Linked DNA regions of Oreochromis niloticus. The protein of the gene in region 4 binds, or shares a complex with, the protein of the main gene of each other region. Links are inferred from orthologs where the notes say so. Each region holds a gene or a part of one and is shown on either strand. Other genes may lie near its edges. The genes, in order: seh1l, castor1, wdr59 and mios.

Region 1 (6,945 bases), about 28 Mb from region 4:
CAGATGTTAGAAAAAAAAGGATAGAAGCACTGTATGAATGTGTGTTTTGGTGAAGCACTTTGAGTTATAAACCAAGTAGAAAGATACTATACAAGTAGCAGTCCACTTACCAGTATATAGACACCGCCTGAATAAGACCAAACTATGGATCAAGGTAGATCAAACAGACCCATCCAGGTAACGCCCAAAGTTACAGACACTATAGCATCCCATCTATCCAATATTTTTCAAACAAGAAGAAACTTCATATAAACTTATGGACCAATTCCAAATGATCTGGTGTGGAATGACTTGAATAACTGGACAATTTAACCTATGACTAAATCATTATTCCTAGTATTAACAGCAGCAACTGCTGCTACACAGCTACAAAGCCTGAAGCTTGGTAGGAGGGCAAAGGTTTCCTAACTGGAGGACATAATGGTTGCCAATATCAGTCTGCTTGATTACTGGGATCAATACTCTGAAAACAAACACGCTGGTTAACCTGATTACAACATATTCACAAGTAGGTATTTGCACCTCAGTCAGTAGAGAAAAAAAAAAAAGCTGTTGTGGTTTGATGAGAACCTGTGCAAAAATGTCAGCTTTCTTTACACAGCTGAACCAACAAATCCTTTATTTTGGAAATGACCAATGGCAACTATGAGTGAACAAAAGTCATTCAATGCCTAGTGAAAAGTACTATTCACTGAATATCCACATTAAATAGCTTTTACTAAAGCTGTCACTGAAGTAAAAGGAAGACAAACAAGCAGTTGTTAAGAGCCCCCTCACCTTTCCAGAGGCGCACACAGCCATCATCCCCAGAGGAGGCCAGCAGGGTGCTGGTGATATTCCAGCTCACACGCCACACCTGAGAGTTATGGTTGTCAAACTGAGCCACAATCTGCACCTCAAATTTGGTGGGTCCTGTGGACGTGCTCTCCTTCCTGTCAGGAGGACACAGGAAACAGGAAATTGAATTTTTATTTTTCATTATCTTAAAAAGAGAACATCTGCTCAGGAACTGCATGCAGGGCTTCAGTGCAGTATTTGTGTGACTCCACCAGTTTCTGTGCGTTGTGACCTTCCATAAGACAGAGTGCAAACACTCACCTCATCGGAACTAGCTTAAATATTCGAACATCTTTTGTTGCAATGGCGAGCACATGGAAAGATCTTCCCAGGTTTGGAGCAAACGCGATGTCATGAACCGCATCAGTGACCGTCATAAGTGTCTCTGCTTTGCCATATTTCCTTTTAAACAGATAAATATTAAAATCTATCATTTATTTTGGTATATCTTCATAATGCGATGGTTAGTGCATCACTGATAATGAATACCCACCGTGTGTTTTCGTTGTACTCGTAGATCTGAACCTTCCCACCGTATGTTACATTGCTGTCGTCACTCCCCACAGCAAACATGGGAGGATGGGCACGTGAGCTGTTGGTAGGAGACAACGCATGGTTACACCAGCAGACTGTTAACAGCATGGTGTTACATACACATGAAAAGGTCAAGTGATACTTGCACAGCATTATTCATTATGTTGTTATACCTGCATGTCTATAAGTCACATTAAGTCTAGCTGTAAGCTGTTTTATTGAAAGAATTAGTGGTAGTAATTGTGTTATTTCATAAGCACATTAACTGAAAACATGGTCTAACATATGCAAGCAAATAATATAAAAGCACTACACCTGCTCTCTACATTTGAATCTCATCTTGGTTTCCTACACAAAGTAAACCAGCAGTCTAACCTGGAGGGGTTCCAAGAGATGCAGCTGCAGCTGAGCTTGCAGGAGATCTCATGCTGCAGGGACCACTGACTCAGGTTCATCACATCAGGAGCCTCGTAGATCCTCACCACCCCATCCGCAGAGCAGGTGGTCAGCATCAGACCCATGTGTTTAGGAGCAAACTTCACATCGGTCACTGAAGTTCTACTGTCCACTAGCGTGGTTCTCTTAATCTAGAAAAGCCCAACATGAAACACTCAGGTGAAATCTAACAAACAGTTATATTAAATGGGAAATGCAATGCAAGCGTACTAACCCAGTGGCTAAGTCCCCTCTGCTTGTCATTGGACTCTCCTACAATCTCCTCCCAAACAGCAGCTGTTCTGTCAAAGGAGCAAGAAGCTAGAACCTGTCCAAATTCTGGATGCGCCCAGGTCACTCGCCACACTGATCCACTGTGTGTCTGGACATAACAACATTCATCTATTAACTCCATCGATACTTTGAATGTAATGCTGTGTCCATACTCAAAAAGACAAACATAAAGTAATAAATAAAAAAGAAAAGGAAATGATGGTGGTTTACCTTCCAGCTGGCTGTGCAGTGCCACTCTCCGTTCTCACTTTTGTCCCAGACCTGAGTGGAATAAAATCAGTCTTGAATACTGCTCATGTGTCTGTGCACAATTATCACCGATTTTGCACTGACTTTTGTATGTACGTCCTTTATTATGTCGTCACATAATAAAAAATACACCGATAGCTCTGTCGGAAAACTCGGCAGTGCTTAACTACACTACTGTGGTATAGAGCTTATCTGTAGCCAGCCTAGCTCGTGTGCTACAAGCACCAGAGCTAACAGACTAGCATTTTAAACTGAGATAACTTCCCTCGAGTGTAATAACCAGAGGAAGATTTTTCAAACAACCTCATGCCATGTCTGTCAGGAAAACGAGTCAGTAATTTCAGTATGAAAGGTGAGAGTGTCGGTAATGTGGGCAAGGCTATCCTGCTAGCTGTAACGGCTAATGCTAACATTAGCAAACTATGATGTAAAGCTTACCTTGACACTTTGGTCACTGGAGCAAGTCGCCATCCTCCGGCCGTGAAAATCATACGATACGTCATGAATTAGATCTTTATGATCTGCTGCGATACTACGCGCAACAAACATGATAACAACTATGTACCGGCAACTCTAGCTGGGACGATTAACTGGCAGGCCTGTCATGTGTCTACTTATGCTGTGTGTTTATTTGGCGGTAATGTGATTGTGTGTAGTACAAGTTATTGACCACACGGCGGCGCATGCACACAAATTTTAAGCAGCTCAAAGCGACTTTGGGATTCTTTATAAGAAGATAAAATATATCGAAAGCTATTCCGTGAAAAACTGCTACAGCTAGAGTTACTTTGAAGATACGTAGTCAGATAAACAGACAGATTAATAGGTTTATTAATACATAACTGCCAAAGTAAATATAGTAAGTAATATATTGTCAAAATTTATTGCCGCCTCTTGCGCGGTTGCCAGGTTTGATCCAACTGACAGTTTTTTTCTTCGCTAACTTTATTAATAAAAGTTAATTTCAAGTAACAATATTTAAACAGATTTGTGCAAAGGAATTTTGTAAAGGCATAAAATAATAGTACTTAAAAACATTCAGTAAAGAGATTGTGAAAGAACTTTAATGCGTTCAATAAGAGTATTGCATTAATTAATTAAATTAATGCATTCATTGAAATACTGCAACATATCTTGTTTTTTTGTTTTTCGTGTTTTAAGTAAGGCCAGAAGAATCTGCCAGTTAGAAACAACTGAATAAAACACTGAGCTAAGTGTCAATATCCTTGCGTATGTTTTTTTTAAATATTAATGTTAATATCAGATTTTTGTAGTTTAGTGTAGTTTAGTTTTGTTTTTTGTATTTTTGTGTGTGTGTGTGTGTGTGTGTGTGTTTGCGGAAGGCTGTGATGAACGCATATCTGGCAACCCGGGTCAGTCAGCGTGCAGGCAGCAAGCAAGCAAGCAGTATTGTGCCGGAGCAGCAGACTCCCCGCAGGGATTCCTAGGGTTACACACACTGCTGTTTAGATGGCTGACAGAAAGGAGTAAGTTGGTGAACGGTGCTGAAAACACTCTGAGATTATTCCGGCAAGTGTCTGGGTTCACTAACTACAACACAATGGAGGAAGAATTTCAAGACATTGATTCGTCGGGGAGATGGCAAAACCTTTACAATGTAAGTCGGGACACTGACCGGGCCTCTCTTGTTTCTATGACGATCGGTTGCTAACTAACTTAGCTAGCTAATTTGATAGCTATCAAGTTAGACACCACTTCGAGTTTTTGGTCACTTTCCCGTCCACGCTTTTAATTGTGTAAATTTCTACACTTCGTGACATGACTTCCAAGTTCTTTATACATATTGGAGTGCACTTGGTAAAGACGAATGAGTAACTAGCATTTCGCGCTAGCTGACTTCCGTAGCTGGAAAACGTGCATCGGCACGATCTTCACTTCGGTTAGCTAATGCTGGCTGACGCTAGCAGACGTCAGCCGCAGTTTCTGAGAACTCATCAGGACTTCCACAGAAAAGCGTGTTGTGTTTTACCACGCAGCACAGCATTTCGTTTATAATATGTCTGTTCCGGTTAAACTTTGGCTATGACCCTGCAATGTGCAGCTGCGAACTACAAAGATGCCATGTAACTAGAGCTGTTTTTTCACACATGAGTGTTAATAAATTAAGAAGAAATGAACGTGCACACTTTATACATTTTTAAAAAATGTTTTTAAAAAAAACCTTTCAAAACCTTTTTTTGACAGGGAGCGGGGGGTATTTATAAAAAGTGCATGGATAAGTAATTTCATAAAAGATCAAATTTCTTTCATGCAGTCCAGTCCTACTGAGAATTTAAATGGGACTGAACAGACATGAGAATACTAACACTTAATTTAATTTCTTACCTATTTTAAGGATAATGTCGTTAGCATGATAATCTATTTAAACCAATAGTGCTCATTGTACATAATGATGCTTTTCAGTTCCATATGTTATGGGATTATCTCTGTCAGTTTACTTCTAATATGAGTCCCAAGCTTGAATAAATGGGGAGGTTTAAATCAGGAAGTCAAATATGCAGACCAAGAATACAGCATCATGTCTTAGTACATCTATGCACTGAAACTGTACTTTGTGTACTACTAAAAATTACTTTTGCCACTAGTCTTATCCATGGTGCTGTAGCTCAGTGGCAGTGAGGGGACACGCCCCTGCTCACGACAGTATTCTTGGGAGTGTCAAAAATAATTTTTGTTCTCCTTTATTCTTTTCTTGTGTCCAGTAAAACTGCTTCTGTTTCTCTAGAATGAAATAATAATAATAGAACTGAGTTCGCCCTTTGGCCTTGCCCATGCAGACTGTGTTGTAAAAGGAAAACAACAGCCTGAGGCATTGCAGTACATTAAGTTTGACAAATGACAATGAAAACAAAGCAGACCAGTTGTAATGAATTGAGTACAAAGGATTGAGGACCTTTGATCTCTGCGTATGGTTTTTCTTTTAATGTCATTACTGGTCACCACTCCAGTAAAACTGGAGGTACATGAATTGAACAGGTTGTGTCACTGTTTCCTGTCGCTGTTGTCTACTGAATCAACTCAAAGTGATGCTTCTGAGTTCCTGTTTGGTTTCTCATCTGCAACAGGAGATCCGTAACCAAGCCAGTGAATATTCCTACAAAGTGGCAAAGCTTCCAGTGAACCGGAATCTGAACCGCTACAGAGATGTCAGCCCATGTGAGTGTTACGATGGTTAAGGCTCTCATTGATGATATGTGCTGCCGAGAATGACGTCATCATAATTGCTCTGTGATCTCTTGCTTGGTTTCAGACGATCACAGTCGGGTAAAACTTGAAAACTCTGAAAATGACTACATCAATGCAAGTTTAGTCGATGTGGAAGAAGCCCAAAGAGCTTACATTCTTTCTCAGGTATGTAGATTGTAGGACAAGCAGTGTACACTGAACTGTCTGCACGGATATCTGTTGAACACATCTGCGTGCCACTCAAAGGAAAATACACAGGATTTGAGTTTGACATTTTGGGAGTTGTTGATGATCTCTGGATGTTATTCATTTATGTGGATTTTCTACTTTTGCTTTGACAGGGCCCCTTGAGGAATACATGCGGCCATTTCTGGCTGATGATTTGGGAACAGAGTTGCAAAGCTGTTATAATGCTCAACAGAGTGATTGAAAAAGGATCTGTGAGTACACTACAGCACCTGCTAATCATTACGTTCTGAAGTCCCCCTGCTGGCTAGGTTGTTTGAAAGTTTGAGGAGACAAATCTTTATTAATAGATGTAGATACATTTGCTCATCCCAAAAGGTTTGAGATCCAATGCCTGTTTCCACTGATGCTAAAATTCTGTGCATTTACAAGATGAAATAGAATCCAAGATACGTTTTATTGTGTTTTCTTTCTAGTCTATCCACTTTTATCTGGTAGACTAGAAAGGCTTTCAGCCCTGTCTTGGAGTTTTCAAAAAGATGACCAGATTTACTATAAAATTTAATTGGCTTGTTTTTCGTGCATGTACCATCTCTTCACCACGTTTCATGAATTTCACCCTGGTAGGTGTAATCATGCTGACAGACAGACTGAGAAGAATGCCACAATTTTGAAAAAGTGAATTGAAATACTGAAGAGCTGCACATGTTTAAATTCGTTATGGATCAAAGCCTAATTGAGATATTTTGGGCAGGAATCATGACTCAAATTCCTTTACTTGACAATGGAAAAAATTTATTTCCTTACATTTAAAAAAAAAAAAAAAAAAAAAAATCCAGTTTAAAATGTCTTTTTCTTGCTCTGTGGTGTTGTACTTCATCAGAACTCTGTGTTTCACAAGATTGTCTTAAGCTCTGTGGTCATGTTTTAAGCTGTACTGTATGTAAAGTTTCAGTTCTGTTGTTTCCATTTATTTGAAATTTTAACCACAGTTCCAGGAAAGTTAATGATTACTTAGTTTGTTTTTGCATTTAGTTTTGAATGTGTTTTTTTTTTATTTTTAGTTTCACTTGTATTTGGTTTTCATGTTTCAGTTTAGGTTTTACTCTGAAAAGGTTTCATTTTCAGTGAGGTTTCATTGTTGTGTATTTCATTGTTTTTTTGGGGGGGGGTTAAGTTTTTTTTTTTTCTCTCTCTCTCTCC
Region 2 (7,516 bases), on a different chromosome or scaffold from region 4:
AAAACAACCTATACTCAGTTCTGGTGTGAGAACACTGAATAAGATTAAAATATTATAATAGCTGGACATATTTTTAAAAAATAATTAGCAAAGTCAGTGCCCCAAACATGTTTTGACCAGCATCCAGTAACATGGGTCGGAAAAATAAGCTTCTGTTGAAGTAGAAGGAACACTGAGAGAAGGAGATGAAAATAACTACAAGTGATGAGGAAGCAACGGGTAGCGAGGGAGCGGCCAAGTGGGGAAGATGAAAACCAAGCACACAAGAGGTTGGACTTTGATCCAGCTGCACAAAACAACGGGGGGTAGCAGCACCTAGGGAGTGAGGGCTGGTGACGGCACTGGGCCTGCAACTGATGCTCCAGCTGAGAAAACATGATAAGCACACAGAAAACTGACGCTGAAGGGCGAGGAATGAGCCTCAAGCGACTCAAGTCCTATGATCAGAGCACGGCAAGTTGTCTGCTACGTTAGCAACTTATGAAAACAACACTCTTAGTTTTCTATCAGGCTTCCTTTTCGCCCCCCTTTTCCAAAAAGGCGGGTGGGTACGGGGTGTGGGAAGTCCTCTGTAAACAGGAGGAGTGGGAGCCCCAACCTTGACGGATCACTGAAGCAGACAAGTGGAAAACTCCCAACCGGGTTTCTGGCTCGGCTGAAGCATTGTTCCAACCCATGCTCTTGTTAGCTAGCCGCCAAAGAGAAGAAAGGAGGACTGTGTGGAGCCTGCGGGGCTACATCCACAATTCAGGAAGAACAATATATTGAGCTGATGCTGAGCTTCGTTTATTACTCTACCTACAAAGTGTAAACAACTACTAAAGACAAAGCCAGAATACTAGTAAGACTAGAATGGCTTGGAAGCCCAAGGTGCACATTTTTTCAGCCATTCTGGGAGGATTCACTGACATCCTTAGATATTTTATATTCTGCAAAACAGGGTATTTGACATTTATGTTTAAGTTGGTAATGACACTGACATTTACAGAGCAATATTGTAGCTAATAGTGCACACTTTATTCCATCATATGAATATTTCTTTGTAGACAAGTCAAAAGTGTTCCTTTCACTACTTTTAGCCTCTGCACTATAGACGTAGTAAGCGCCAGTGCTAAAGGACGCTGAAGAAAAATCCACTATGTCACATGTGAATATCTCCTTAAAATTCTGCTCAGAGCTGCGTTCAAATCACTTTGCACAGGGAGTTGTTCACAAATGAATAGCAGAGGCCTGAAAAAGGGAGATGGCTAAAAAGTGTCCCGGAGCAATCAGGCTTGTTTTTGCTCCCTGACTGAAATCAAGCAACTAAAAACAAATGTCTCCACCACTCCCCATTCCGCATCACCTAGCATTTGATCAAAAGGTGGAAAAAAAAAAAAAATATCCCTCTTGCTTAAGGAAAAAGAAACAGGAAAAACAATGGTGACATAACTCCAAAGCATGAACAAAATGCCCTTTTCTGGTTTATTCAGTGCTTCGCCTACTTTTTATCCATATACTGAATGCTTCACTAAACCGGTTCAAAAAATGCTTATGCCTTTCAAGTGAGTTTTTAAAAATAACTATATACTTATATGGGTTTTCTTGTTAACCGGTTGCCCAATGCCTTCCTCACACAAATCCCACACATCTATGATTATTCACAGAGACATGTTATTTACTTTCTACAGTACTGTAGTGTAAGTCATCATGACACAGTGTGTCTAGTGTGAACATGTCAAAACTTATTCCATTATCCAATACACAACAGAGTACTGATGAAAACAATCGAGCACGTACAGGGATGCATTTGAAAAGGAAACATAGACACAACGGGATTCATGGTCTTGTAAGAATGCACTTTTACTGCCCATCAGCCCCGAATAATGAAAAAGTTGCTCTCTTTTTAAGAGGAAGCCAAAATAAGGTACATCATAAGAAACTTTCAGAGTATGGTGTGATATACAGACTTCAGAATCCAGAAAGGCGATGACATAAGGAAGCGCTTTCTAGACAGTTGTTTACAGGTTCTTTGTTACTCAAACGAGAGCTGCAGCTGAACCCCGCACGGCCTATATCATGGTGGTCTGAAGACAGATGTCGAGCTCTTCTTTTGGCCATGTATATGTGGGCCAGCCGCAAGAATAAACAATTGCATAACAATGGAGGGATATCCAGGGATTAGCTGAAAACTGGTACTAATGCCCGGGTGAGATCAGAAAAATTTGCAGACTGAATGTTGGTTTCGAGCGCAGGATGTCATGTATTAAGTTTGTTTCGGAGAGACGGGGTCCAACCGAAATACACAACGGTACTGCACGCTTCTGAAGTAGTTTGATTAAAGTTGATTTTGTGCCCACTGGAAGAATCGCGTATTAAAGGTATGCAGGGCACAAAAATTCAGTTTGTTTGTTTAAATGCTGCAGATTTTGTGCAAATGCAACAATAAAACAGAATGTCTAAAAACAAAAGCTATTGCAATTCTTTACATCTACATGCACTGTTGTGAATCATTCATGGAGGCAAAGCATGTGCAGACAAATCGCCCAGTAGCTCGGCCACCCAGTGAATGAAGAGGCGCTGTAGGTTATCTCATATATCCGTACTGGATTACCAAAGCTGATTCGTAAAGCGAAGCGACATGACCATCTGGCCCGATCAATGAATCTCCTTACCGTGTCCTGTTCCGGAGAAATATCAGCTTTATCAGTGGGTGCGTGAAATTCACCAGGCCATTCTTGGATATACTGGTGACCCTCAGCCTGTGGTCCAATATGTGCAAGTCCATATTCCTGGTTGCGAACAGTTCCTCTCCACTGCTCTGTTCCTGCATGCGGCGGAGAAAACGCCTTCCTAGCTGGATGATATCATTCAAATGTTAAAGAGACATAAGTCATGAGTATTTCCGCCGACTAAAAACCCCACGTCACGCTGGTGCTTCTCTCAGAATAGAGAAAAACATGCGACGCAACCAGACGCCAGCCCCGCTTAACTACTGTATATTCAAATAAAGGGACAGCCCTAGAAAAGACACGCCCCCTCCTCTTAAAGCTACAGGTTTATGCCGCTGTTTGGCACATGCACGCAGGGGGGGTGTGAAACGAGCTGTGACAACTTCCGGTTTTGTTTAAAAAAATTAAAAGCCATCAAATATCCTCATAACAGTTTCTGTTCATTTAGCGGATTTGACTGCACAACTAAAACAAAAGATTACAATAATTATAACTATTACTATTATTACAATTATTTACATTTTTTTTCATAAGAGAGTGTAAACAAAACAATATCAGTATCATTTTAAATATGATTACTTGCTGCTTTCCCCCTCCATCAACTACCCATGCTGAAATCTACCAAAGTTGTCTAATGACTCTGCCATAGCAGGCCTCATCAAAGTTGAGGATGACCCAGAGTACAGATAGTGGCCTGGTGCCAGCAGAATCATCTCCTGATCAATGCAGGGAAAACCAAGGAGCTGGTGATGGATTTCAGATCCACCACACCAACACTAGTGAACATCCAGGGAACTAGCATTGAGATAATGGACTCTTATAAGTACCTGGGTGTACCCCTACCTGAACAATAATCTGGACTGGCGTCACAACGCTGATACTCTTTACTAGAAAAATCAGAGCAGACTACTTGCTGAGAAAACAGATCTTTTGGAGTGCAGGGTGTGCTCCTGAAGAGCTTTTTCGACTCTATGGTGGCGTCAGCCATCTTCTGTGGTGTTGTCTGCTGGAACAGCAGCTTATCTACAGCTGAGAGGAAGTGGTTGGATAAGCTCATCAGGAAGGCCAGCTCTGTTCTAGGATGCCCCCTCGACCCACTGCAGGTGGTAGGAGGCAGAAGAACTCTGGCCAAAATAAATCAATCTTGGACAACGTCTCCCACCCCATGTATGAATCTGTTGCAGACCTGGAGAGCTCCTTCAGTGACAGACTGCTGCATCCTAGCTGCACAAAGGAGCGCTATCACAGATCCTTCCTCCCAGCAGCTGTTAGACTTTGTATCTATCACTGATCCCAATGAACACAATAAGTTGTTTGCGTCACTGCTGTTATTTGTACAGTTTTTCAGTGTTCTGTAAATACTTTCTCGTTGTTGTTTTTAAGCACTTTTCACAGCACTATCACTGATTCTGTAAAAAAAAACAACCAAAACCCCAAAAACATCCTACTCAGCTGCACATTTCTTTGAGTCTGAGTATATTTTTAATAACTATACAGTATTGTTTTTGTTACGTTGTAAATTTGCCATGTGCTGTCCATTTGTTTTATTTTATATTCTTTACTTTTGTGAGAATCTGTATCTGCCTGTCACTTTGGTGCTGGAACATGTGAATTCCCCAATTAGGGACAATAAAGGATATTTCTATTTCAGTAACGTTGCCCAAAGGTCAATAAAGAAATGCTTGTTGAACTTGACCTCTGAGTAAAATTCTTGCGACCTTAATGGCCATAGACTACAGGTGAACTCACTGACTAGTTGCTTGATAGTTACTTCATATTTTATTGATCTGATCTTATATGATAATGTTTTCATTTATCAGATGATCGCAGGTGTTACTTTCATAAACAGAAAAGTGTCAGTCATAAACTCGCATTTCAGGATTAATCCAGTAGAGAAGAATTACTCAAGATAAAGAGATGCAACTCTAATGATGTTGCTCAGGGTGACATGGTTTTTATGACACTTACATAGCTAGTCTATGAAAAAAAGACTACAGTATGGTTTTCCATACTTTTGTTTTCCATCAGTCTAATGTTGATTCTAAATATTACAATAATCATATTTTGTGTAGGTCACCTATTATTTCCCAAAAAAATATCCCAGATTAATGTATTAATTTATGTAACATCTTTACACATTGACTTTAAATTATAATTGAATCTGCAAAATTGAAATGTACTTAATTTTTTTAAGTACAATCAGTGAGGTGGGCTTTTGTTTTTATTTTTTTTTAATCAAACAGTTGTTTTACATTCACCGTTGCAAAATTCAGCATGATCTCATTCATTAAGTCATCCATGTACATTTAATAGTACTATCATAAAAATCTTTATTGTGGAAAAGAAAACAAACAAACAAAAACCCCAATATGTGTTCCGTTACATCAATTAATGATCAAAATAGAGCAAACACACCTCACTTCACTCCACTAAATCAGAACGTAAAAATTCCTCAATAACACCGTAACGCACAAACTCTTTTTCTCTTGTGTTTTCCCCCCCTTCACGTGTTTTATCTAAACCCTTGTAAATCTTGGTTTTTCAGGTTCTTTATACTGAATGTGCTTGGAAATTGTACAACTACTTTTGACTTTGGCAATATCACAAACATGGAATCAGAAGTTTTACTTCAATGCTTTTAGTAACAACACAGGTCATACAGAAGAAATGGAAACTACAATTCGTAAGACCAAAAAGTTAAGTAAAATTTGGTCATTGAATTATTTGCAGTCTCAGTCGCTTTCTCATTGTAAAGGTGAACTCTTAGTTGGAATCATTATTCTTGACTCCATACTTCGCAACAAAGGCACTGAGGACAGACAGAAAGACAGTTAGAAAATGATGTACTGAAAATTACAATTGTAATAATAAACAAACAGGAAAGCAAACAACAAACATACAGCTCTTAAAATTCTTCAAGCTGGGCAGTATCATTTTATAATTTGATGCTCACACTGCTTAAGTCTCATATTACCATGGATGGCCAATAAATTAAGATTTTTTTTAAATTATTATTATTACCGCAACCCTTTCATCTCCATCACTAACAACAATGGGGGAGGGGAGGCAGCATTATATAATTTTCTGATTTTGTGGCAAACATTTAAAGAAAACACTGAAGGTTTACTTTAGCCCTACTTCAAAGAAATACAGATTTCAGATCCAGTACACCGACCACATTAAACGTTTCAGCAGAAAATTGTTGGTAGGCAACTATGATTAAAAGAGTTTTGTGATCTACGAGTCTCAACTTTGCTCAATATAATTGCAGGTAAAAATAATCAATGAGGTATAAAGTAGCCCTGACAAAATCATTTTTCTTTTTTAAGGCATCTGGGCGAAGCATTTCTTTCTTACCTGTATAATACACGTTTACGTCCCATCCTTCTTTCCGCCAGGCAGAGTTTCTTGTCTCCTCTCGGGACTGGAGGCTCTCATAAGCTATGAAAAGACGGCAAAGAAAAAAGAAATTCCAATGAAAAAAGCAAAGCCAAAAAACTCCACCACACATATTATATTGCATTATGTGTGGATAAAATTTACAGTCACTGGCACCTTCGTTAGTTAAACCTTGCTAACATCAGGCCAAATCTCTTTTGCCATCAGAACTCAATTCTTAACCACACAGATTCAACCAGGTGCTGGAAACATTCCTTCGAGATTTTGATCCATTTTCACATAATAGGATCGCACTGTTACTGCAAATTCATTGGCTGCACATGCGGTACATGATGTGAATCTCCTGTTCTACCACATTTCAGGTAAGAACATGTAGTTCGTGGGTCACATATGGGTCAATTTGATCATAAATGTCAGACCACAATTAAATAATAACGTAAAAAAGCCACCCAAACATTTCTTCCCGTATGTTTTGAGTTTCAAGTATTAGTACATTCTGTCTATCAGTGAATAAAACAGCCCAACATGTCTTATGGAAAATATTTGCAATTACAACAATATGTCTCAGTATTTCCTCATGCTCTTGTCATTTCAAAGAAACACACTGACATAGCTCTTTGGCTGAATGCCCTTACTTCATTGAGATAATACAGGCTTCAAAAATGTGTGAAATTTATGATTCAAGCCCAGAGGCTTGATATTTTTAATATCATCTGAACCAGAGTTCAGATGATATCAAAAATATGGACAACCACTCATAAAACACCTTTAATACTTTGATTGACTCGCAATATAATGCTTCCTGTTCCAAGATGCAATCAAAAGTCCAAATGTTATGTCGAGTGTAAAATCATCCTTTGTTGATGTTTGACACACCTGGCTTATGTTGGAACCGTAACACTGAGCTTTAGTAATTCATTAGAATACAGAATGTATACAGGAGCATTCAGCTATCTGAAATTCAGCCAGACCAAACTTGTCAGACATTTTAACATACAGCAGTCAATCACCTCATCTTACAGGCATGTTTTAAGTGTAGAGTGCTTAATTACTCACCCCACAAGTGATGAACAACATAGAGTTGGCCAATCTGTGTGAAGAAACCGCCTACTGCCTCATTGTTTTCTTGTCTATGTTTGATTGCCCTCGCCCTGTTACAAAACATTATCTTATTTAGTATAAAGATCACTGAAACACTTCTGATATTTTCACTTCCACTGGAAGAGATTCAGACAAATGACATATGTTTAAATAAATTCAACGTGTCTCACCAGCGATTGCCCCATTCAATCATGGTTCCTGGCTGAAGCACAAGTAAAATATTAATTAGAATCATACCACCATCATATTTCCATAGAACTGAAAGACTGAAAGCACTATTTATCTATTATTCATAGCTACGTGTT
Region 3 (7,415 bases), on a different chromosome or scaffold from region 4:
GGAGGTGGTGGGCATGCACATGATGTTCAGAGGCTGCAACACAAAACAACAGAAATAAAAGGGTAATGCACTGATGCACTGGAGTCTGACCGGTGTGTGAAACCATGCAAACACAAAGACACCTGCAGCCCTCACAAAGCCTCATGGAGGCTCCTTCAAATATTTAAATATGAATGAGGTCTCCTGCAAACTGCAGCCGGTGACACGAGCCTGTCACAGTCTGCTACGAGCGCTCACTGAGGGGCTGAACCGAGGCTCAGAGTAACACAAAGGATTATTTTGAACTGTGAATCATGCAAAGCTGCTCTACGAGACTCCCAGCATGAAAACATTCTTCCCTTTAAACTCACCAGTAAACCCAGCAGCTCATCGTTGAAGGTCAGAAGCGGATCCCTCCAGAACAGGAAGCTGCTGAACTGGTTGCCGTCCGAAGTCGTCCGTGTGTCCGTTTGTTTTTGTCCATCGCTTGATTTTAAACCCTCCGTTGGACCCTGACAGAGCAGCAGCGATAGCAGACATGCTGTGTTTACGTGCACAACCTGGAGATACAAGCTCTTTTCTAACAGCACGGCACCCAACTCCATCCATCCGTCCAGGCCTCCAATCATCCGTCCATCCATCCATCCATCCGTCCAGGCCTCCAATCATCCGTCCATCCAATCATCCGTCCATCCATCCATCCATCCGTCCAGGCCTCCAATCATCCGTCCATCCATCCATCCATCCGTCCAGGCCTCCAATCATCCGTCCATCCATCCATCCATCCGTCCATCCATCCATCCGTCCAGGCCTCCAATCATCCGTCCATCCATCCATCCGTCCATCCATCCGTCCAGGCCTCCAATCATCCGTCCATCCATCCATCCATCCGTCCAGGCCTCCAATCATCCGTCCATCCATCCGTCCGTCCGTCCGTCCGTCCGTCCATCCATCCGTCCAGGCCTCCAATCATCCGTCCATCCATCCATCCGTCCAGGCCTCCAATCATCCGTCCATCCATCCATCCGTCCAGGCCTCCAATCATCCGTCCATCCATCCATCCATCCGTCCAGGCCTCCAATCATCCGTCCATCCATCCATCCATCCGTCCAGGCCTCCAATCATCCATCCATCCGTCCGTCCGTCCGTCCATCCATCCGTCCAGGCCTCCAATCATCCGTCCATCCATCCGTCCGTCCGTCCATCCATCCATCCATCCGTCCGTCCATCTCGCCATCCGTCCATCCATCCATCTGTCCATCCATCCTTAATGGCCGGGGAAAAACAGATGTTCTTCTCTCCAGACATTTTCTCGGGCATTTCCAACCCAGCTGCGAGCTACAACCTCTCCAGTCTGTCCTGGTTCTGTCCTGGGTTTCCTGTGAAACAGTTAACCTGCAGCGGTGCAGGAGGTATTCTGGTCGGATCCCCAAAGCACCTTAGCTGGCTCCCTTCAGTGTGGAGGACTAACAACCACTGCACGGATGTTCCAAACCAGTTCCACATCTTTTCATAGGAAAAAAAAAGCCAGTAAAGACACAAAACTTCTGTGCTCGGAGGTGGAACCACGCCACTGGCTGTGGGAGGGGACAGACATTCGCACAGCTCACAGAGTCCATCCTCCATGATTTTATTCTGTGGATGTTACTTTAAACTCTGCTTTGCAATCTTTGGTCTTACAACAGTCAGAATAATAGAGCTGGTTTCATCGGTGGCAGAGAAAATGTGTATGTGTTTGTAACAAAGGCAGCTCAGCTCATCTCGGTTTCTAAAGATTATTGACTTCAAGAATCAAGAAGCCTGTTTTCTACGATCGCTTTAACACATATTCACAGAGGAAAGGTTCTGAGCATTGAAACTATCTGTGCAAACAGACGTCTGTGTGAGAGTCAGCAGAGGGATTTAAAACCCTCTGAGGAAGTCGTTACAGCGAGAGACTGTGAGGTCCAGGTGCTCCTCGTCCTCTCACCACAGCATGAAATCTCAGCTAATCGCGCTTTTAACGTTTGTCACATCAAAAATACAAAAGAATAGAAAAAGTCTGAGGAAATGAACACGAGCTCCGAAACAACATCAGAACAAAGCTAAAAATTCTGTATTTTAAAAAATAAGCACAGACGAATGTCAGCAGAAGGTAAATCGTCCGATTTTCCCACATTTTAACTGGCAGCATAAAGAAATTCGAGATTTACAAGAAAGGAAACACCATTTTTAAACACTTTGAATGGAGTCTGGTATTTCTGGTCACACTGTCTGTGACATTCAGATTCTCTTAAATCTTGCAAATTCGGTTTCCTGATTCAAATAATTTCACATTATGAGCAAAAGATGCAAAAATTAAATGACAGAAACTTCTTATTTTAAAGCTACTGTCTCAAAACAATCTACGATCGAACCGAAGAGAGCTCTGTTTTTTCCTCACCAGTAAACCCAGCAGCTCGTCGTCGATGGCCGGCAGCGGCTCCCTCCAGAACTGGAAGCTGTTGAACTCATCGCTGTCAGTCTCGTTCGACGTCTTCTTTTCCGTCTCCGTCTGTTGGACATTCGGACTGTCTGCAGGTTTCTGAAGACACAAACACAAAGTGAGAAAATGTTCCTGACTGCACGCCGGCCTGACGGCTGACACGAGTGTCCGACTCTCACCTTGGAAGGAAAGTGGAACCCGGCGACGTTCATCGGAGTCTCGGGGTGGCGCTGTGTGTTCTGAATGTTCACCTGGATCAGAAAATAACCAGAGGAGTCTGCGTTTATCACAGTGTGGAGTTAAACTTCTACATGTCTGCAGTACAGAGTCAAGAATAGAATAGAACAACGCTTTATTGGCATTGTACAACAAAGGTATGGGTGCAATGAATATGCGACGCTAACTGCACAGGAGTAAAAACATACATAAATATTAAGCACATTAGGAATAAACAGCAAACAGAAGAGACGTACAGTCCAGAGAGAGTTCACACAAAAATCACACATAAACTTTGTTGGTCTCAGCCTTTCACAATAAGAGCGCTCTCTTATTCAGAGAGCCAGGAGAGCAAGTCTGTGTGCTGCAGGTACCTTAACCTCCGGCTCCTTCCTCAGGTGCTGCGAGCCAACGTTCTCCAGCTCCAGCTGGTAGGTCAGAGCCAGGACTTTGATGTCAGTGGCTGAGAGACTCGGATAGTCCCCGGTCTTCTTGGAGAACTCTGTCACTGAAAACAGACACCAGGACGTTAAATCACACCTTTACAGAGGTTTGGAAAGGGATGGGATTCAGATGCCCGCTCACCGTGTCTGATGTGCTCTGGATGTGGTTCCTTAAAGTGGAGCTGGTACGGCAGGAAGGCCAGGCTCCTCCTGGTGGGTTTGTCTCGGATCTCCTCCACCACATCTTTCAGGGTGTAGATGTTCCTGCCGATTTCCTGCCAAATAAAACAGAGTGAGAGAACATCAGGAAGCTTCAGCCTGATCTTTATCGTGGCAGCAGCCAGAATTCAGTTTTTTAATCCGCTTGAGGCTAAAATCTTTATTAAAGCTCCAGTGAATATTTATTTTACTAAACAAGGTTTTTTTTTCCTTTAATGATCTGAAAACAGAGACCAGATCCGGACCAAAAACCCGTCCACGTTCCGTCTACGTTTACACCTGAACTACAGCATCAGGTGATGCTTTGAACACCGTTGATCCAGTTCTCCTTTCTCTGGACTACATTACAGACCCGGGACCAGATTAGCACATTAAACTCAGTTTTATGGCCCTGGATCATTTATTGTCCCTATGAAAGCAGAAGAAGATCCTGTTTCTCGGTTTGTTGTCGGGGACCTGTTGGCCTCCAGCTCCACGCTGAGTCCTCTCCCCCCGGCTCGCCTCGCTGACACCTCCCGGTCTCTGAAGCCCCTCTCCCGGGTCACCCACACCCTCACAACCCCGTCCACTTGGATCAGGAGGGACAGACTCACCTGGAGAGGAGCTTTCTTTAAAAACGCTCCAGCATCTGCGACAACATGCTCTACCAGGGTGGTCGCCATCTTGGTTTGATGACCAGCAGCGGGAGCGACCAATCAGAAGAGAGGGGAAACACTCGTGACACGTAAAGCCGAAAACACGTCACTCATGTGGGAAAGTTGAACTTAACCATTAAAGTTGTTTTTTAAAAAGTGAAATAAAGTTTGTTTTCTTATTTAATTGATGTATTATTTTTAATCGATATATTTATCTAACTCATATTTGATATACAGTAAATATATATTTTATGTCCTTTAACAGTCCAATCAGACTTCAAGATATTTAAAAAACAATAGTACATGTTTATTAAGAGACAAAAATGTCAAAAGTATAAAATAAAAGGCAAATAAAGGAAAAAATCGTAATAAAACTTTACTTTTTATAATTAACAGAACAGTCTGAAGAACAGTCTTTTATTACTTATTCAACGGCGTTTGTTGTTCCCACTGTCCTGAACGCAGCGTTAAGTCACTTTAGCGTCACGTGGTGTTTGTTGACGGTAGGAGACGGAGAAAGATGGCGGCCCGCTGGAGCAGTGAGAATGTTGTGGTGGAGTTTCGGGACGCCCAGGTAAGTTTTTCTTTTTTAAAGTTGTATTTATTTTTATGTTTTTAATTTCATGCTTGTACGAAGCGCCTGCGCGCGCAGGTCAAGGAGCGTTTAAAGTCTCGTAAAAGAGAAAACTGCAGCTCAGTCCAGGTTTAATCACCCGGACTTCTTCTTAGTGTTTGTTTGTAGCTCAATCCAGTTCAATGTTGTTAATCGATTAATCGTTGGAGTTGTGTATGTGGCACCGAATGTGTGGAGGATTTTAAATTTAATAATGAATTACTCGCCAAAAAATATATACAATCCAACAAACAAACAGTAACTCCACATTAATGAATGTGGATCAGTTAGAATGAAAATTAAGTTAATCACAGCCTGAGTGATTAATCAGCCAATCAGGAAGTTAATCAGTAACAATTCGGGTGATTGAATAGTTGTTCTGGTCACTTTTAAAGCGCAGACTCCTCATAGTTTTGATGATTTTTGAGTATCTGTATATGTAAAAGTAAAATAAACAGAAACGATACATTTTTTGTGAATCGGCGGAACCTGATACGAAGTTGATAATAAATGATCACATCGGGTAATTTAAAATCACCTGAAAGCTTCAAAGCTTCGTTGTGTCAGCAGCAAAGGTTACTGACTTCTCTTTAATCTCACATTTAACACAGGAAACAGCACATCTGCTCTGCCTGAGAGGAAATCTCTCTGAACTGAAGTTCGATGATTTTAATTGTGTTTGAATTTTGATTGTCAGTAAAATAGACACAGTGAAAATTACATGACGTTAGCTACACTAAAAAACTGTCACTGCTGCTTTTGTCTCGTGTTTTCAGGCCACCGCCATGTCCGTGGACTGCCTGGGCTCCCACGCAGTGCTGTCCGGGTAAGTTTGGGTCACCCGAAGGCGCCACAGTCCTTTTCCTCAAACAGCAAATGATGAAATGTGTTTAATGTCACATCAGAAGCTCGTAATTATTCATTATTCAGTTGATTATTCAGTTTCAGAGCAGCTCTGTCCGCTGAGCTAGAATAAATGTTTGAGGGAAGGAACATAAGTGTAGTATTAATATATTAATAATATGTAAGTATCAGAATGACGGGATACTTATATTATTGACAAGTTAATAAAGATAAAAAGTGAAAATGGCCTATATTTATATAAAAAAACTACTTTATTATGATTTATGACCTGAAAAAATTGAAATTTGCAGCTGTGAATTTTTTTTTATGTCATTATTTAGAATTTCAAGAAAGTCAAACTTTGGTTAAAGCGTCAGAAATGTGGAAAACCTGTGTTAGAATTACAAAAATCAAATATTAATTATAATGAAAAATTATTATTAATAAGAAGTTAATGCTGAGACAAAGTCAGCTGTTATAAAAGATTTAATTTTAAATGATCTAAGATTACGAGATACAAGATAATAATAAATAATATTTTTCTGTTGTTCCTGTTTCTTTCATTTAAAAAACTTTAAAGCAAAGTAAAGATATCGTCCAATGTTACCCCGCCAGTGACAAATGCTTCATTTCTCCTGCAGCATATTTTTGTAATTTTTAAAAAACAAACAAAAAAATCTTTATTGTGATTGAAGATTTTAAATTCACATGATTTTACCTTCTGTCGTCGTAATCGTGCCGCAGGCGTCGCTTCCTGTACCTGGTGAACCTGGAGTCGCCGTCTGAACCGTCGCGGAAAATTGGGCGACAGAGTAAGTGGGACGTGGGGACGGTCCAGTGGAACCCGCACAGATCAGAGGCCCACGTCTTCGCCGCCTCTGTGAGTGAAACCTCCAGAATAATTCATCATAAAATCATCGCAACAGAAATAATGTCGTGTAGGTAAAGAAAGTGGAGGGTTTGTGTATTTCTGTGTGTGCGTGTTGTCCTCAGAGTAACCAGCGGGTGGATCTGTACTCGTGGAGGGACGGCTGCGGGGAAGCTCACACCTCCCTGCAGGGGCACACCCGGGTCATCAGGTAACAGCAGATCAAATCAAACGCACCCATCAGTGGGTAAACGCAGCCTCACTGATGTGTTCGTGTCCGCAGCGATCTGGACTGGTCCTGGTTTGAACCCGAGTTCCTGGTCACCAGCTCCGTGGACACCTACATCTACATCTGGGACACCAGGTCAGAGCAAAGGAAGACCTTCCAGTATCATGTTTATTATTTATTATTATCTGTCTAAGACAAAATATTCACACGTTCCCACTTTAACATCATGTAACCTGATATAACAGGTGTGATTACGACGACGTTCGCTGGTAAAATTATATCCTTATTATCTTTATCCTGATTCGTCACCTGGACTACGAAGCTGGTTTAACAAACCCAGGATATCTCGCTGTTATCTGGCTTCTCTTAGCCTGACATCATCAGTTAGACTAAGAGCTCACAGGAAGGTGGTGATCGTCTGAAAAATCCCGACAGTGTTTCTGAGTGATTTTTGGATTCTTTGTCTCTACAGAGACACTCGGAAACCCACGCTGGCGCTGTCCGCGGTCGGTGAGTATTTAAAGGGCCGGACTGTTTCCAAAGTCCTCCATCAGTGTCCACATGAACCTCACACAGCTGTCACATTCAGTTTGAGTTTAACTGACCTCCTCACAGTCAGTCAGAGTTAGGCTGGTTTATGTGCTATAAGGGGACACGTCCACAAAAGCCTGATCTCCTGATGGAGTCGGGCTTTTTAAGCTGTTTACGGTGTATTCAGCCTGTTTACACGGTGCTTGAAATGGGAGGGCTGAAAAATGTTTGTCTTCTGGTTAAAGGCTGTTCTCGTCACTGTCAGCTTGGTGAAGCGTGGGACAAATACTGATATGACCTCTGGTAAATAATTAGGATCAAGCTAGAGGGCACAGCAGAGAGCGCAGGCTTTACCGATGTAAACACCAAACAAGG
Region 4 (6,918 bases):
AGAATAACATAAAAGGTGTTATTATGCCCATTATAGGCTTCATAGTCTTAATGATAAGCTTTTTAAACGTTGAATTCTTTACTGAACTAATTTGAAAGGTTACATTTTGAAGTAATAATAACAATAATAATAATAATAATAATAATAATAATAATGATATAAATATCTACTCTATAAAGTCTTTAGAGGAGAAACCTTCAAATGAGGAGAACCATCATCGGAGCAATGAAGCACTTCACTTCTGCTTTGTAAAGTAATAAAAATAACCTGCATACAGTTTCAACAGGTGGCTGACTGTTTTTCTCTGCCATTAAACAGATTATCAATAAGCCATCGTGCAGATATTTCCACCATTTCATCACCTGAAAGGATATAGAACAGATCATGCCATAAAGACTTAAGTTGGGCATCCTTCCCACCCGCCAGCAAATGGTTCCTCCACACCTGGACGGTATCATGTCCGTACCTGGACTGAGCCCTTTCCCTCATTTTAGTGGCAATGTCTTTCTCAATCATACTCTCCACTCCCTCCGCCGAATCCTCAACACACTCGTACAAGTGTCTACCACACGCCCACATGAGAGAGGTGGTGGAGCTCCATGCCAGTGAGATACGTTCAAACACCGTGAAGTCAGTCATGACACGGTTGGTTGCTGACACCACCACCATGCGGTTCTGAGAGGATGGGTGCCAGGCAAAGCTGCCAATCTGACTTTCACAGGGCTGCACACTGCGCTCAATGATGGTGGGCTCCGTCTCATCACCTATGGGTGTGGGAGTGTGCTGCATGTCGTACAGGCGGATAATGTTGCTGTCACGCGTTAGCGTGGCCAGTAGGCCAGTACGGGTTGGACACCATGCCACCTGAGAACAAAAAGCAGAATTTTATCAGCTATAAAAAAATAAAAAGTGGAAAAAAAAAAGACTTCTACTGAATAAGCATGCCCTGACTGTGAAACCCTGAGCTAATATAAACCTTTAAAATAACAATGTGACATTTTTAATGCATCTTAATCTTATTTTTGATATCATTTATTACCTCTTTTTTCATTTAAATGAAACAGGTCTTTGTGACAAAGACCAAGTAAAGAGTTTAAAATTATTTGAGCATTTCATTACTCTGTCTTTGAACATTTAGGCCAGGGGTGTCCAATCCAGGCCTCGAGGGCCGGTGTCCTGCAGGTTTTAGATGTGTTCTCGATCCAACACAGCTGATTCAAATGGCTAAATTACCTCCTCAACATGTCTTGTAGTTCTCCAGAGGCCTGGTAATGAACTAATCATTTGATTCAGGTGTGTTGACCCATGGTGATATCTAAAACCTGCAGAACCCCGGCCCTTGAGGCCTGGAGTTGGACACCCCTGATTTAGGCAATCTAAAATTGACGGGTTACAAACAAGCAAACAAGCTGACATCTTATTTTCTAATAGACCAGTGGTTCTCAGAATGTGGGGCATTGAGCAACTGCTGAAGAGGCGTGGAATGACCAGAGGTTATTCCCTGAAAAATCAATCTGTGCCTCCCACCTGACCCTGCCAGAATCAGCTGACTTCTTTTTTGGTACAATAATTTTAGTATATGTAATGCAGCCAAAACAAATTGTACCGTAATAGTAAGAAAATATTTGTCAAGTTACAGACACACTGTAATTTTGAATTTGGTAAAAAAAAATTCCAGCATTTCCAGAAAAGGAGATAACCACATGAAAATTTCAGAGATAAAAAAAAAAAAAAAAAAAAAAACACAAACACAGTTTGTTTGTTGTTTTTTAAACTGCAATTGAATCAACTTTAAACCCACTCATTATCATGGTTGTAGTTCCTCGAGTAAGTATTTTCAAATTCTGGGTTATAAAATACAATTATGTCACAACATTTTTTGACACAGAAGGAGTCACAGCCAGATGAGAAGCCTTGTATGAAAATAAGATATGTCATATGTTATCACTTATTTTTAAATGAGCCACTTGTCATGCTGACCTTTATTTCACTAAAATTGAACTTACAAACTTTGTAGATATTAATAAATGATAGAAATTTTAAATGAGGAATGCAGAAGTCTGAAAGTTAACATGACCAATACACAAAGCTAGTATATTAGTGCATCCTTATTACTGTGGCCTTTGGTTAGTTTTCTTTATAACAAACACCATCCTACCTTTGTGAGTGGCTTGGGCTGCTCAGTCAGCGTGAGCACAGGCTTCTCAAATTTCCTCAGATCCCAAATGGCCACCTGCCCCTCAAAGAAAGAGGCCACGCGGTCATGGAAGTGCGGGTCGACTGTCACACCTTGGATGGCTTTCGTGTTTACAAATGTTTTCTGACTCGTGTTTCTCAGGTCAAATATCGCAAGGTTCCTGTGCATGCCTGCCAGCAACAGCTTTGGGTCACGGAGCAGCCAGCAAAGCGAGAGGCAAGCATCGTTCTGGCCTAACTCATACAACGGCTTGGTCACCACTGTGCTAGAGTCCAAATCGACAGATGAAAGGCGAATCTTCTCAGCTGCTACACTGGTCTCTGGGGACAATTTACTGCTGATGTCCCATATGAGGACAGAGAAATCTGCCCTGTGCTTGTCTAACCCAGCAGCCAACAAGTTGCTGTCCACAGGGTTCCAAGCTAAAGTGTTGCACTGACGGGCATGTTTGGGCACAAACTCTTTCCCCACCAGCTCTTTGCATGCAGAGTTGTGGCTCTGGCCCAAGCTGGTAAGCACAACCCTGCCGTTGGCTTGGCCAACGGCAAGTAAACACTCCGGCTCGTGCTTGGGGTACCAGGCCACACATTTCATATAAGGGGTGTCAGAATTGATGGCCAGTAATGTAGCAGCAGTTTCCTCGGAGAGTGGGAGGGTGCCAGCCTTGGCTTCTGCGCTGCCCACAGGTCCGATCCGGTACAGTCCCAGTTCAGAGTCACAGATGACGTAGCGGTCCGGGTGGTGGGGGGACCACAGGATGTCGGGCTTGGAACCGCTCATGATTCAGAAGCTAGTAGGTTTTCAGGGAAGTTTAACCTCTCCAGCCTGAAAATACGGCAGAATATCACACAAACGAGCACATGAACAAAGGTCAGAGACAGCGCAGAAATATTACACATCTCCGACTGCAGTGGTCGCAACGTGGACAACAGACAGTTCTGAGAAGTCTTTTAACATGTTAAAGTAATGATACAATGAACCAAACCGTCAATATAACCTAAATTCTGTGTGGAAGTGTAGCACAGTTGGTTTGAATTCATCGCCCAGCATGTTAAAAAGCTGCCGTGGGCAGCTATAGTATTACTTTTAAGTTTGTTGACATGCTAGCTAAACTAAGCTAATGCTAACAAGTAAAGGGAGAGCAAGCGCGTGACCGTTTCGCTCGCGCCAGTTTAACCAGCAGTCGAAAACATCCGTTTGAGCATTTCGAGAAGAGGTTTTACTTACATAAACACAACAAAGACGACTTATAGGAACGCACGAGATACAGCTTAAAATACACATGTCGACCAGGGGCAACCTGGAGCCAAAGCGGATGTTGTGTGTTACACCAAAACATGTCCGTGTTATTAGCAACGTCAGCTACTTCATGTTCCGCTAAAGATGAGGTTTACCAGCAGAGGGTGCTAAGTGAATAAAAAAGAGAAAAGAAGTCAACGAAATCAGCCAGTTTTATATAAGAAATTAGGCAATTTCAGATCATGACTATTTAAGTTAATTAATTTATTAAATGTATTTAAGCAATAAGAGTTGAGTTGTCGGACTGACAATGTTATTGAAATGAGGTCGATTTCTGCGCGGTACAAGAGTATCATACTACCACAATTCATCTGCTTTTCACATTAGTGGGGGAGAGTGGAAAATGCAAGAGAAAGAAATTCATTTGGGATTTTTTGCAGAACCATTTTCCTTAGTAATCAACCCATGATAGCCAGAAAACTGACACGTTTGTTAAGGAAAACAAGATGCCGAGAAAAAAAATACTTTAAAATTATTTTATCCCTGCAAACTAATGTAGTCTGCTTTATTTTATGTTGGCAGTGGTTTTTAGATGCATTATTTATGACTTGGAGTGATGACTATTGCAAATGCTATTTATCTGGCGTCTCAAAAATCTAAATGATTCCAGTGCATGGACTCAATGTGCACAAAAGAGTTTCACGGGATCCCTTCTGTCAGGCATGAAGCGTTGCACTGGACTAAAATGTTGGAGCGGCACCAGGGAGGGCCCCCGGCTACAAACACTCTGACACACACAGCACATCAGCTCATGCGATGGTCCTCAGTTTATCTCAGTCTGGTTTATAGGGACCCGGGGTTCCGCGGAGAAATGCCTCTCAAAGAGCTGACTGGACTACAAACACTGGCTGCAGCTAAATGAGATTCGAGGTAATAAAAAAAAAGATATCTTTGCTTTGTTTTTAAAACTTTTTTTACAAAGTAGTGACACTCGTGGTGTCACAGTTTGAATGGCAACTTCAGTATTTGCACTGCAAACTAGGTACTTTGCTGTGACCTTTTCTCAATCACCTGGCAGCTTTAACTTTATATTTGTTTAGATTCTGCAGCATTTGTAACCTGTTAACAGAAAAGTATTTGCACAGATTATTCTGGTTTTACACACATTTACATATTGTTGGCACTGTAATATAGTAAGTATTTGAGAAAGTGCATTATCAGTAGGAGGAACGGTGTCACCTAAGCAAATTAATACCATTAGAATTGCTGCCGTTGCAGAACACAGCTCCCTTTTTTGGGATCTGCAACTGGGTGTGGTTAGCAGTGTCCATGATAGTAAAAGGAATCCTGTTAAAGATGAAATAACTCATTGTGCTTTGCATACACTGCTTTCCCCCCTAACATTCTCCTCTTTTCTCTGTTAGGATGTTGCTGAAGGGAAACCTGAGCAGAGGAGTCGGGGTCTGCCTTCTGCTGCTGGCTCTCCTACACAAGGCCACAGGCCAGAGGAGAAAGACAGGGCGCAGGAACAACTACAGGCTGCAAGATGAGGGAAGAAATGGTAATTTTTAGATGAGGTCTCCACATGCTGGTGGTGAAAGTCACTATGTTGCATTGACAGAACAAATTGTTGAATGAGGGATGGTGAAATCAGGCCAATGAAATGGTTGAGTCATCAAATTTTAAGTTAAAATAAAACTACATGAGAAGTTCTTAAGTCATCCACCCACGATGCCTTCCTTTAAGTGCCTTTTTTTTTAAATGTAAAAAAAATGGATGGATTATACATGTGGCAATTTGATTTCATTTAGTACAAAAACAAACACCATTAACTCTGATCCCATTGCAACTGAAGTGAGGAACTTTAACTAAAGTAACTGTAAGTTCTAAGGTTGGAAGTTGACAATTTGGGGTCTTTCACTTGGTCCTTGAGCCTTTACTTGACAGTTTTAGTAATGTAGAACTACTCAAAACTGTTGCTTTACTTTTCCACAAGCTGCACTTACACTGACTTGCCACAAAATTAAGTCTCTGTATTTATTATTTGTGTAGCTTCCCTTCATGCTGCCAAAACGGCTCAGGACACAAGACCTTTATAGGTCTCCTGTGGCATCTGGTATTAGGAATTTGGGAGTGGGTTTTTTCCCCGAATCAGGTTTATTCCAGAATATTTCATGAATTAATGATCACACTTGAACCCACAGCTGTTCGATGTGTTCCTCGAGACATTAGAGCACTTTTGACAGTGTACATGGATACATACCGACTGCTGGCAGAAGGGACTGAATTTGTGGAAAGAAGTTAGAAAGGAGTCAGAGTGCCAATCCTGAAATTAGTCCTGTTTCTAATACTTCTAGCTTCATGTGAGTTTTTGTGATCTCCTTCTCAAGTAGGTCTGACATGTTCACTGGAAGTGGCGTTCATCCTGGACAGCTCTGAGAGCGCAACCATATCACTGTTTGAGAAACAGAAGACCTTCGTGTTGAGCTTCAGCACCCGGCTCGCCATGCTCCAGGTACCCGGCTGGACGATGAAGGTGCGGATGGCTGCACTGCAGTACAGCAGCACTGTGTCCATAGAGCACAGATTCTCAGCCTGGAAAGACCTGGACTATTTTCACGGTCAAGTCAGCACCATGAACTACATCGGTCACGGCACCTATACCACCTACGCCATCACCAACGCCTCACAGCTGCTGGTGCATGAGACCTCAAAGGACAGCGTGAGGGTGGCGGTGCTAATGACAGATGGAGTCGATCATCCCCGTAACCCTGATGTGATTGCAGCTGCTGTGGAGGCCAAGGGTCATGGCATAAAGTTCTTTGCTGTTGGGCTATCAGATATTGCCCAGCAGAATATTGCCAAGCTCCGGGCCATCGCCAGCACACCTGCTCAGCAGTTTGTCCAAAGTATGCTCGACTCTCAGCTGGAAGAGAAGCTGCTCAAAGAGATGGTGAGTGTTGGCTTCACGTAAAATGAGCTCAGGCACAGAGGTGCAAGTACAGAGTCGAGAAACATCAGAGTGGTGAAATGCTTTTTTAGAAAAACGTCGTGCTTGAAAATAAACTTCAGTTATTGAAGAGCCTGACAAAGCTTACTGAATGGCAAAAAAGACGCTTACTATAAAGATGCTGACTATAGATTCAGTCCAGAGAAACAAAAAATATACTATATGAGTGCTACCACAGCTACTTGGTTACTTCCTGTTTTAGTTTGAAAGTTCTGGAAAAGGACTGGGACTGTGTAGTACCTATCGAGTTCTACCGACTATTCAAAGGCTTATCTATGCCACATCTTCATACAGCTAACTTAAATGTCTCTGGAAAGTTTGAATCCATAACTGTCTTGCGATAAGGTGCCTGGGTGATTGAGCATGCATCAAGACAATACAGGAGAAAGTTTTTATAATATTATTATGTAATAAATAAATTTATATTAAATAAATCAATTCTCCACATTAAACATTTCTAAATTAGGATATA

The links.
Region 1: the proteins of mios (region 4) and seh1l are in contact, whole or in part, in a cryo-EM structure (PDB 7UHY), measured with the Homo sapiens proteins. The link is inferred for Oreochromis niloticus from reciprocal best matches to the Homo sapiens genes MIOS and SEH1L. Residues at the interface, in NP_001357005.1 of Homo sapiens: Arg279, Arg316, Ser317, Phe353, Glu354, Arg355, Ile356, Ser357, Leu358, Ala359, Trp360, Pro362, Leu366, Met367, Trp368, Ala369, Cys370, Gly371, Arg372, Leu374, Tyr375, Glu376, Cys377, Thr378, Glu379, Glu380, Glu387, Asp389, Ile390, Ala391; in NP_112493.2 of Homo sapiens: Met1, Phe2, Val3, Ala4, Arg5, Ser6, Ile7, Ala9, His11, Lys12, Asp13, Leu14, Ile15, His16, Asp17, Val18, Phe20, Phe22, His23, Gly24, Arg25, Met27, Trp47, Ser173, Ser174, Ser175, Asn230, Leu231, Gly232, Arg233.
Region 2: the proteins of mios (region 4) and castor1 are in contact, whole or in part, in a cryo-EM structure (PDB 9LVK), measured with the Homo sapiens proteins. The link is inferred for Oreochromis niloticus from reciprocal best matches to the Homo sapiens genes MIOS and CASTOR1. Residues at the interface, in NP_001357005.1 of Homo sapiens: Ala83, Asn84, Val109, Pro110, Lys111, His112, Ala113, Arg114, Asp134, Lys135, His136, Arg137, Asn184; in NP_001032755.1 of Homo sapiens: Val94, Ser116, Thr117, Tyr118, Gln119, Thr120, Asp121, Thr188, Tyr236, Leu255, Thr256, Ser257, Ser258, Ala295, Tyr296.
Region 3: the proteins of mios (region 4) and wdr59 are in contact, whole or in part, in a cryo-EM structure (PDB 7UHY), measured with the Homo sapiens proteins. The link is inferred for Oreochromis niloticus from reciprocal best matches to the Homo sapiens genes MIOS and WDR59. Residues at the interface, in NP_001357005.1 of Homo sapiens: Asp705, Trp710, His711, Arg713, Ala714, Ile718, Ser721, Lys728, Pro729, Leu730, Ala731, Gln732, Val733, Phe734, Val735, Ser736, Cys737, Asn738, Phe739, Ile744, Lys780, Pro781, Leu782, Pro783, Leu787, Cys788, Leu789, Gly793, Pro795, Gln819; in NP_085058.3 of Homo sapiens: Tyr871, Arg876, Glu877, Arg879, Ala880, Glu881, Leu883, Lys884, Pro889, Pro890, His893, Lys894, Gly895, Ile896, Glu897, Phe898, Gly899, Val900, Tyr901, Arg906, Glu908, Val909, Arg910, Thr912, Phe922, Gln923, Ala925, Ile926, Cys927, His928.

What each region holds. Positions count from the first base shown.
Region 1 is NC_031976.2:5,534,458-5,541,402, forward strand, and holds the start of seh1l (nucleoporin SEH1), read right to left. Parts: upstream 3,016-6,945; 5' UTR 2,899-3,015; coding exon 2,788-2,898; intron 2,362-2,787; coding exon 2,311-2,361; intron 2,189-2,310; coding exon 2,042-2,188; intron 1,959-2,041; coding exon 1,747-1,958; intron 1,430-1,746; coding exon 1,331-1,429; intron 1,240-1,330; coding exon 1,099-1,239; intron 933-1,098; coding exon 778-932; intron 1-777. Other genes in the region: ptpn2a (tyrosine-protein phosphatase non-receptor type 2a), read left to right, coding at 3,911-3,967, 5,436-5,526, 5,621-5,721, 5,898-5,996. UniProt on the Homo sapiens protein: Component of the Nup107-160 subcomplex of the nuclear pore complex (NPC). The Nup107-160 subcomplex is required for the assembly of a functional NPC.
Region 2 is NC_031977.2:29,895,391-29,902,906, forward strand, and holds the start of castor1 (cytosolic arginine sensor for mTORC1 subunit 1), read right to left. Parts: upstream 3,013-7,516; 5' UTR 2,813-3,012; coding exon 2,655-2,812; intron 1-2,654. Other genes in the region: nipsnap1 (protein NipSnap homolog 1), read right to left, coding at 5,456-5,520, 6,069-6,152, 7,167-7,261, 7,382-7,413. UniProt on the Homo sapiens protein: Functions as an intracellular arginine sensor within the amino acid-sensing branch of the TORC1 signaling pathway. As a homodimer or a heterodimer with CASTOR2, binds and inhibits the GATOR subcomplex GATOR2 and thereby mTORC1.
Region 3 is NC_031965.2:37,920,089-37,927,503, reverse strand, and holds the start of wdr59 (GATOR complex protein WDR59), read left to right. Parts: upstream 1-4,404; 5' UTR 4,405-4,476; coding exon 4,477-4,530; intron 4,531-5,345; coding exon 5,346-5,395; intron 5,396-6,156; coding exon 6,157-6,292; intron 6,293-6,405; coding exon 6,406-6,491; intron 6,492-6,563; coding exon 6,564-6,644; intron 6,645-6,981; coding exon 6,982-7,019; intron 7,020-7,415. Other genes in the region: RNA-binding protein NOB1, read right to left, coding at 351-491, 2,402-2,542, 2,623-2,694, 3,034-3,167, 3,245-3,377, 3,915-3,983. UniProt on the Homo sapiens protein: As a component of the GATOR2 complex, functions as an activator of the amino acid-sensing branch of the mTORC1 signaling pathway. The GATOR2 complex indirectly activates mTORC1 through the inhibition of the GATOR1 subcomplex.
Region 4 is NC_031976.2:33,238,726-33,245,643, forward strand, and holds the start of mios (GATOR2 complex protein MIOS), read right to left. Parts: upstream 3,015-6,918; 5' UTR 2,978-3,014; coding exon 2,159-2,977; intron 865-2,158; coding exon 375-864; intron 1-374. Other genes in the region: col28a1b (collagen, type XXVIII, alpha 1b), read left to right, coding at 4,862-4,997, 5,830-6,389. UniProt on the Homo sapiens protein: As a component of the GATOR2 complex, functions as an activator of the amino acid-sensing branch of the mTORC1 signaling pathway. The GATOR2 complex indirectly activates mTORC1 through the inhibition of the GATOR1 subcomplex.